2 linked regions of the Arabidopsis thaliana genome follow. The protein of the gene in region 2 interacts with the protein of the main gene of each other region in a pairwise test. Each region holds a gene or a part of one and is shown on either strand. Other genes may lie near its edges.

Region 1 (5,626 bases), on a different chromosome or scaffold from region 2:
GTATAACAATAGTTTTCTAAATATAGTTCATATTCAACGTTTGAAAGAATGAACATATTAGCTCAAATCTGTTAAAATAAGTGGTGTTCTAAACACGAGAGTTCGATTACAAAACTAATGAATCTCGATCATTATTTTCTTCTATGTTAGAATACTGAAAAGACATTTAATTTGCAATACATTATCGCATAGTGTAATAAATGTTAAGTTCCACCTCTTAGCAAAAGACTGAGAGAGGAGGTCCAATGAACATCGTTGACAGGAAAAAAAGAGAAAAAAAAAACGTCTTAATTTTTTCTATACTTGATAAAATTTAAAAGACATTTAGATTATAATTATTAACATACTAAAAATGTGTTTCATAAATTGCAAAAAAAGCAAAGAATGGTTTGACTCATATTTATATGTAAGAAATAACCTTTGAGTTGAAAAGAATACACAAAATAACTTAGAACCAAATAGTACTTGTCGGTTACAGAAATTTTGGCAATATTTAGTCTATTTTAGCCTTTCTCTTTCTTCTTCCTTCTTTTATTTCTTTTTCATGTTCTTTACGAGACTTTAGCCATAGAGTTCTCTTTCTCTTTTCATCTTTAACACAATTCATCTTCTTCAGATTCACCATGTCATTTTCTTTTTCTATTTCTCTCTCCCTCTCCTAAAATAATCTTCACCACCTCTCATAAAATATATCATCATATCTCTTTATTTTTGTTCACCCACATGTTCTCTCTTTCTTTTTCCATAGAAATCTCTCTATCTCTCATTCTTTATTTTCTCTTTTTACCTGAATTCTCCGTCAATGTCGTTGTGATATAAGAGATTAAATTTGATTTTAAAACAAATATCTGATTTTAAAATGCATGTATTTTAAGAACAAAACATGTTATTAACACTAATATATTAATATTTGTCATGCTATCCAACAAAAACTCATGAAATAAATAAATATTTGTCATGTTATCCAATAAAAACCCATGTAATATTGTAATTTTTTAAATTTCGCAATCTATAAGAGAATTGCATGCTTTTTATAAATATTTCGTGCTATTTCTGAAAAACACATTATTTCAGAGAAACATATATATCGTGTATATATATTCTGTATGTATTTTAAAGAATTGCATGCTCTTTTGTAAATATATCATATTATTTTAGACAAATACATAAAAACTTTATAACTACAACCACCGATATTTTTGTAAAAACAAGAAAATCTAAGGATATTTTAGTATTTTATCCACCATAGAAAATGTTATTTACCTAAGTTTCCTGACACAAGGCTATTCTCTCAATTCTTTTCAATTCCATGGTTACTTTCTAATATTACCCTATATAATATTGATATTTTCAAACTTTTGATGTAAATATGAAATTTTCAATGTAGAAACTTAACACATGTCACTGGAGAGATGATGCTTTTTATATGTTTATTTTAAACAAATCCCACTTAAAATCTGTATACACTTTTTTGGGGTACCTTATGTAGATTATATCGAATTTCATGAATTTCTAACTTAGAAAGTTAATATACATTGATAATAAATAGTTTGGTCTATATTTTTTTTACTATCAATAATAATTTATAATTAGTTTAATAAAAATTGAAGTGCACTCACTCATGGTAATAGTTTTTAATTAGTTTTAGAATATATGACCAAGACCAAAAACATTTTGAAACTGAATTTAGTTTTGAATAGGTAGAATCTCGGTTTTAAAGAAAATGATGAAATTCATAATGGAAGGCGTTACATGCACACGCTTCAAGGCAATTCGATTCATGGCTAACATTTTTGATTCACTTTTATTTTACTTTTTGTCATCTGTTTATTCTGTTTCAATTAAGTGTCGTTTTAAGACTTTAATTTTGTTTCAGGATAAATTTTATTTTATATTTTCAATGCAAATATTTTTTTTTGTTAAAATTTCATGTCTTATCTATGTTTTTCTAACAGATTGACAAAAAAAAAATCTATGTTTTTCTAACGTATTAACTGATGAAAGAAATATAATTGTGTATTAATGAAAGATAGAAGTGAAACTTTAATTAAATTTTAATACTATATGTTAATTAACTTTAAACAGCATATAATGATAAATGGTGGGAGTATTACATTTGTTTCTAGGGAATACTGCATTATTATGCGGACAAATTTGATATGTAACTTTCAAAAACTTATACAATAATTTATATTTAGACTTCTCGTTTGTTTTCTATATAATAATTTCCAACAACTTTATCAAAAAAAATAAAAAAAAATTCCAACAATTTAATATCAGCATGTTTCTTCCATCTCCTATTCATATACCTTTGGCTTTTAAATTGTAAATTTCTTAATTTCCTTTTTCTTTAAATTTTAACTCTTAAAAGTTTTCCTTTATTTTCTTGGTTTGAAGCTATATGCCAAAAAGGGAAACGCATATATCCAGAGAAGAAAAACTCGAAACCCTTGTCTTTTCATGGATTTCAAGTATATTATTAATATGCAATTATTCGTATATTAATATATGCCCCTATGCGTATTTTATTTTTTAATGCGAAAGGAATGATATTCAGCTAAATTTTCGGTGTGTCTATTGCTTTTTTTTTCCCTTTCCTCGTTCAAAAAAAGTACTTGCAGAGTCACTCACTCTCAGTCTCAGCACATGAATTAATTTGAAGCTTCCCTAGAATTCTTTCACATCAATTAATACGACACCGTCTCGGGTGAAGAATCTCTCCTCTCTTGCCCTAAAGCGAGTTAGGGTTTAACACACAAAGCATACCCTTTAGATTTGTGTCTCTTAGCTCTGTTTTTGTCGGCTTGTGTAACCGATCAACTCAAGCTATTGGCTCCTCACCTCCTGAAATTTGACTTCTCCAATGGATCTCAAAGTTTCTCTTATATGAATTCTATCTTCACCCTCACAATATCTTTATATATATGAGCCACAAGAACAAGAAGAGTCAGTAGATGCGGCTGCCATGGACGGTGGTTACGATCAATCCGGAGGAGCTTCTAGATACTTTCACAACCTCTTCAGGCCTGAGCTTCATCACCAGCTTCAACCTCAGCCTCAACTTCACCCTTTGCCTCAGCCTCAGCCTCAACCTCAGCCTCAGCAGCAGAATTCAGATGATGAATCTGACTCCAACAAGGATCCGGGTTCCGACCCAGTTACCTCTGGTTCAACCGGGAAACGTCCACGTGGACGTCCTCCGGGATCCAAGAACAAGCCGAAGCCACCGGTGATAGTGACTAGAGATAGCCCCAACGTGCTTAGATCTCATGTTCTTGAAGTCTCATCTGGAGCCGACATAGTCGAGAGCGTTACCACTTACGCTCGCAGGAGAGGAAGAGGAGTCTCCATTCTCAGTGGTAACGGCACGGTGGCTAACGTCAGTCTCCGGCAGCCGGCAACGACAGCGGCTCATGGGGCAAATGGTGGAACCGGAGGTGTTGTGGCTCTACATGGAAGGTTTGAGATACTTTCCCTCACAGGTACGGTGTTGCCGCCCCCTGCGCCGCCAGGATCCGGTGGTCTTTCTATCTTTCTTTCCGGCGTTCAAGGTCAGGTGATTGGAGGAAACGTGGTGGCTCCGCTTGTGGCTTCGGGTCCAGTGATACTAATGGCTGCATCGTTCTCTAATGCAACTTTCGAAAGGCTTCCCCTTGAAGATGAAGGAGGAGAAGGTGGAGAGGGAGGAGAAGTTGGAGAGGGAGGAGGAGGAGAAGGTGGTCCACCGCCGGCCACGTCATCATCACCACCATCTGGAGCCGGTCAAGGACAGTTAAGAGGTAACATGAGTGGTTATGATCAGTTTGCCGGTGATCCTCATTTGCTTGGTTGGGGAGCCGCAGCCGCAGCCGCACCACCAAGACCAGCCTTTTAGAATTGAAAATTATGTCCGTAACATAGCTGTAACCAAATTTCATTTCTCAAAATTAAAAGAAAAAAAAAATCATCTTCATTGTTTGGGGATCGTTTGGTTTTTAATTTAGTTGATCATATATGAATATTTGAATTCGTCTTGAGATGATATACTTCTCCATCTGCATTTTCTCTTCTTTTTTAATCACTAGGGTTTCGTGCTGTCCCTATATATTATTTGTTATATGCTTGAGTTCACAATAAAAGTGCTATTAGAAGCCAATTTTTATATATCACTTAGTTACCTTTGTAATTGGATAACAAAAAAGTTATTGAGTACATTTTATAGAAATATTGAAATGGCTCATACTTGTATATATCATGGATGTGGTATGTGTAATCCCCTTTTTGAGTAGTTATCAAAGGTAATCACTCAATCTATGTTACTATGTCTATCAAGTAATCAACCAACAAATCAAACATCTTGTTCTTTTTAATTCATCTAGATACCATACATGAATCTTCGAGATTTTATGATTTGAAAATCTCTAGATTGAATATCTTGTTTACGCATGGAATCTCTGATTTAGTACATGTTTCACCCAACTGAGTTCTACATTGTATTTCGATGAGATCAATATGAATATTTCTTCGTTTTTATCAATTAATCACGAAAATAACGCGTTAAGAATCTACCAAAAAGTAAATAACGCTTTAGAAATTTTACGAAAAACTAAATAACTATTTAGAATTTTATGAGTTTGTTTTAAAGACAGCGGTTACTGTGATAATTGCATACTATATTTTTGTCGATTATAAGAAAAGATTCGCCCACCCGTTACAACGATATAAACATGATTTTTCGACGGTTACAAGTTAATGGCTTAAACACGAGAACATTACATGACCTGCCAAAACCAAAATATGAAAAATTTGTCCCAGAGTTTCATTTATCAGTTTCCTTTTAGAGGATTAGGAAAGTCTATAACAACACAGCCAAGTGGGGCTTTAAGTACAAAGATGTGTGAAAATGAGGAATGCATCAAGTCCCTAGGGAAACTATGTATGGACCGTATGAAAACGTATATTTAAAAAGAAAATCAAGTGAAAGGAAAAGCTTGTACATGACCAATGCATGTCCAAAGGAGATTTGTGGTGAAATATCTTCAATGAGCTTCTAAGAGAAGACAGGTGACATTTATGTATATAAGAAATGGAGTCTCATCATGTTTACTGTTATACAATGAGAATGAGAGATGGTTTAAAAACCTCTTATTTTCATAATTTTCATATATTTGACATTTTAGGGCTTCAACCATGTAAAGAGAATAAAGGGTAATGTACTTTGAGACCTTTTCGATACATGCACTGTGACTTTATCTTTTTAAGATATCCATGTGCTCATGTCAAGTGCCTTACATGCAGTTGAGCAACGATTGGGTTAAGAAATCTTGTTCATTGTGTGTTTTATACGAACGGCTGATAAGTAAACGTAAATGTGAAGGTTTCCCTATATATACGAATTATGATTGGATAGATATATAGATCCTTTAAGTAACATATGTTCTACACTATCTAGACTACTAACTATTTTACACCCAAAAAAGAAGAAGGTCTACACTATTGTGTGGGCCATAGAGCTTGAAGAACATATGTTACTTAAAGGATCATGGTTCGAACTACAACATTTTTAAGTATGATTTGTTATTGTAATTGTTTTACATGAAAATAATATCATACTTTTTCATAAATTCTGAAGATTGGTATGAATTCG
Region 2 (4,931 bases):
GGTAAAGCGAGGCTACAAGAGGGATGCTCTTTCAGGAAGAAGTGAGATTGAGATCTCACGAATCATTCATCCGTTCGCAGATGTTTTGCTTTAGTAGTTTTGATATCTATGACGTTTTTCTGCTTATGAGAAGATTTTGAATGCATGATAAAACTACTAGCTGAGTAATTGTTCAGAACTTGGTCTTGTTGAAACAGAATATGCTTTCATTTTAAGTTTAAATCTTTCTCGGATTGCATCAGTTGTCTGGCTTCTTGTTCATGTTTACAATTCTTTAATTTGAACAAACAACCTTGGTTAAATTTTAATGACTTGTGCAAAAGAATTGTAATATTGCTATCTATGACTAGAAGATACTCAGACTTGACTTAACATGAGATATTCGGCCTGCTTTATGAAGTTAAGTTGATGAAGTTGTTAAACTTTAGCTAACTAGGTTAGGACTGAACGCTACACATCGGTGAGTGACGTGTTTGTAAGATGTTAGCTTTTGGTTGAGAGTTTAGTCTCTGGTTTGATGAATTGGAATAAGAATTGTTCTAAACAATGCTCCAATTTTATCTCTTCTGCAATCTAATATGGGAATGTCTTATCCGATGGCTCGAGGCTCTAACATGCATTAAGACTGGAAATATGTTTTACGGGCTGAGATCTAAAACTCTGAGCTGGAGAAGTTTTTTGAAATCTATGGTCATATTGACATACTACAACAATTGAACCCCATTTTTTGCAAGAAACTCTTTGTTAATATCGGTTGTACTCTATTGTCTAAAATCGAAACAACTCGATTCGTTTTGTGCAAATTTGGATACTGAGCAATGAAACTATTCCTTTTGACATCAATCTTAAAACTAATAATTGATAAATGACAAGACCAATGTATAATATCTTATGTTTTCCTTTCAACATCGACAATGTATAATATCTAAAATCTAGAAATCTAGAAAAGTATAGGGATTGAAGTGTGGTTCTAAGTGAAAGAGAATCTTGTAAAGCTAAATATCATGAGCAAGCAATTTCGCGGCGCCTTGAAATGTGAGAGAGACCAAGTGAGTAAACACTTTCCAATTATACAAAAACATCAAATGCTTTTTCTCCATCTCATCTTTGTGATTTTTAGAAAAAGTAAATAAGAATAGCTATTAAAAAAATTAAAGTAAAAGTAGTTGTGAGAGAAGTACAATGAATTTACGTTTGGATCTCTTAAGCTGTTTTTGTAACTTTACTGAAGCATCTTCCTAATTCTGAGTTTTTTTCTATAAAAACATATTTTTACACAAAGTTGATGGAACTTCTTTTTGGGTAACAAATGACACTTTTATTTAGATAACTTAGCTGTACAATTGCTTTCGTATGTAAAGTTAATCACATTTAAAAACAAAGTTGCTAATCAATCAAATCTTTTCAAAGAAGAAGTGGACAATAGTTTGAATTCCTTGTGGATGTATCTATGTCATTTACAAATTCTGTAATCTCAGTCCCAACTGCTCTAATTAATCTTTCTTATTAAATAGTACATTCTTCACAAAAACAAAAATCAAACAAAGAAGTTACAGAAGAGTTATTCCACTTGAGACTAATCGATCCATTTCAACTATACTCGTTGGGGGTGAATTTTTGGATTTCAGAGATTAATCGATCGGGATGCAAAACGCGTAAATAAAACCGTTTGAGATGTTTTACTCTCGAAATTCTTTATGTTGAAGCTCTTCAGAAGTGCTCTCTCATAACCATACCGCAACAATGCGATCTAGAGTCCACTTGTTGACTAGAGGCTCCAATTGTTGGAACGTATGATCCGGAGTCTAGAGGCCTCAACACCCGAACCACTCAAGAGTCCCTTTAAACATTTAGAATGTTAAAAACGCCATGTTGGCTTTACAAAAACTTTGTCCATATTTTTGACGTACCAAACATGACTTCTAGTCGAAAAATAATAACCATTTTAAATTCATAGTAGGCATGAATTATGTCGCATGATACTTTATAAGAAAAAACATACCCGACTCATCGGCAAAGCAACCTCGTTAGGCCACATTTTTATACGAAATCAACATAAACTTAATTTCTTGAGATCCTTTATCATAGAAAGAAGTAATATAGAAATATCAAATGCTTACGTTCGTAAATTGTAGGCACGATGAAATTTGATAAAAGAGAACGTGCATAAAGTTTGAACTAGAAAAAGCAAGTGATCCACTACATCAAATGGCTTATTTCCACGTGGCGAACTGTGAGAAGATTGCTGCGCCATTAAGTAAAACATATAGCCGTTAATTTAAAAACATACGACAAGACTCATAAAGCCATGACTTGTGGCCGTACCTTTCCATGGTCTATATAATCCCCGAAGGGCTCTCACCTCCAATGTTCCTTTCCATGCTAATTAAGCAACATCCAAAACATAAGTAAAACACTATTATAGAAGCTCTTACAAAGAAAAAATATGAAGAAAGCTACGGCATTGATGAAACATATCGTTGCATTGTTGAGTTCCATGGCGAAGGCAAAATCTATAGCCATAAAGAACAAAACGAGTGCTTTCAAGACACGAGTACTCATGTTGTCTCTAGTGAAACACAAGAAACTCGGGTTCCGTTCCATTTCCAACAAGATTCACCACCTCTTGGGCCATGCGGATCAAGACGACGATAACGACCAGGACCAAGACAAGAACAAGGCTATAGTCCTCTACAACAGCAAGGCATCCACAATGGCTCATCATGAGGAATATGACGTTCACGAGGAGGAAAGCGACAAGTATCCTGATCTGAGGCACACGTTGTTCGAAGGAGAGGAGGACTTCGGGGACTTGGAGGAGGAAGGTCAAGGTAGTTCTGTGATAGATATGGTGAGGACCTCGAAGGAAGAAGAAGGAGAGAATTTCAAGCTAGAAGATGAGATCGACCATGTCGCGGATCTCTTTATTTCTAGGTTTCATAAGCAGATGAAGCTTCAGAAACTCTTGTCCTTCAAGAGGTATCAAGAAATGCTAGCCCGAGGCACCTAAACCCATATCCATATATATATATAAACATGTTGGCAATAGATATGAATAATAGATTCATATTATGATCTTTGCTAACGTACGTTCTTATTTTGTGTTGTCTATGATAAATCCTTCGAGTTCTCTTATTTTCTAGGATCGAAATATTACGGTCTCTTAGATCTGTTTTCATTTAATATGTTGAAGTTGAAGGAAGGATCTGCTTTGCGGAATATGTTTTCTTCCTCCTTGAGACCGTACTGTGTAAGATCTTTTAAGTGTTACAATATAGAGCATTATTTTTTGGCTTATATGTCACTCCAGGCCTTAATCATATGTTGGTCCATTTGTTTCATTCGCTCAGACTCAACAGTCAGAATTCATGATCTCGTTAGCAATTCACTTTGCCAATTAGAGACACAAGTTTATGTTGTAAAACTACACTTAAAATGTGTTAAAAGTGTAATCTTGACATCACTAAAGTAACTATTGATACACTGTGAAATGCAAAGAAAATTGGAAGCTAGATAATGCACAAAATAGTGAAATATGAAGTAGAGTGTTATAATATTGAGTCTTGACATCACACTCCAGACCCGGCCTTGAGTTTTACAAGCCTACAAGTGAACAATGAAATGGGCCGCATAAGTTTTATCTATTTTAGAATTTTGTTGAAAAAACAAAAAAATTCGGTCTCACTTGTCTCAAAAGTCAAACCCATGAACTGATGATGTACCCACCATAATTGAACCACTAGACTTAAAGAAAGTTTTCTAGAAAAAAGCCAAACTCAAATTATATTATTAGCAGCTGCAAACCTATGCTTCGCCTGGTTGGCCCAAGGGCCGGCTCTACATAAGTCTCCTTCTTTATCTTAATTTGACGCTCAAGCGACCTATTCTGTAATCAACCATAAACTTTGTCAGTTTTCTTAGATTGTAGTAGGTTGGATTTGTTTTTGAACTTTTAGTTTACCTAAGGAACAAAATTAATCATTCGTAACCATTTTAAGGAAACAAACTTAACCATTCATAACGATTGTTTCTGATTATTATCGATAGCAATTGTATTTAATTATTTTGATACTTATATCAAGTTTTGATTATATTCTAGCTGCATAATTTTAAAGTCTTTTAAACTATCCCAAGTGCAAGGCAAATTAAAGTAGTGAATAGGGTATCAACCCATAAATAAAGACGTAAACGCAAGAAGACTTATGAAAAGCTAAACTAATCTAGCTAGAGTTGTGATATAAGATGCTTTTGAGTTAAGAAATTATTTGTCATTTTAACTAAAAGAACACTATTAATAACATATAAACAAGTTAAACACGCAAATGCATTGGTGAGCAAATAATCAAGACGTATCTAATGTTGATATCTCTATTCATTATGTTAAATGAGTAATGGGTATTGAATATCAAAACTATCTTTAGTTGTTAATATTCGAATATAAGTACAAAATAATAGTACAGATAACTCCATGATTACATGTTTACAACACCAAAGCTGTAACTATATAAACTTCTACTATCTTATACTTAATTTGGCATTAAACTAAGTAGTGAAAAAGTAACCAACAAAACGGTAGGGATATAGAAGAACAAAAAAAGATAACTCAGATAATTTTACATAAAAATGAAAAGAATTTAAAATAAATATTTATTTGTATAGTTGTTTCTTGTTTTATTTTTCTACAACGTATATAATTAATCTAGAAGTTCTCTTTGTGGAAGTCAAACTTGGTAGTTGTCTTTCGAGAAAAATCCAAAGCTAGATTTTTTAATTCCTTTATCATTCCTGGCATTCCACAGTAGAAGACTCCTGCAATCAAAATTCATATTAGTATTTAGTCTAAATTCATCACTTTATTAATTATTATACAACATCACGTACATAACGAGATTAACGGTCGAGATTAGTTACCTATTCTTTTGCCGGGATGT

The links. Proteins that work in one complex are often made in the same cells at the same time.
Region 1: the proteins of AT5G47920 (region 2) and SOB3 interact in a two-hybrid assay, tested with the Arabidopsis thaliana proteins (one large-scale study listed by BioGRID).

Annotation. Positions count from the first base shown.
Region 1 is NC_003070.9:28,702,567-28,708,192, forward strand, and holds SOB3 (Putative AT-hook DNA-binding family protein), read left to right. Parts: upstream 1-2,396; 5' UTR 2,397-2,965; coding exon 2,966-3,874; 3' UTR 3,875-4,125; downstream 4,126-5,626. UniProt on the Arabidopsis thaliana protein: Transcription factor that specifically binds AT-rich DNA sequences related to the nuclear matrix attachment regions (MARs). Acts redundantly with AHL18, AHL22 and AHL27 in the regulation of flowering and regulation of the hypocotyl elongation.
Region 2 is NC_003076.8:19,401,537-19,406,467, reverse strand, and holds AT5G47920 (transcription elongation factor), read left to right. Parts: upstream 1-2,320; 5' UTR 2,321-2,446; coding exon 2,447-3,010; 3' UTR 3,011-3,297; downstream 3,298-4,931. Other genes in the region: AT5G47930 (Zinc-binding ribosomal protein family protein), read left to right, coding at 1-45; RBOHD (respiratory burst oxidase homologue D), read right to left, coding at 4,700-4,809, 4,912-4,931.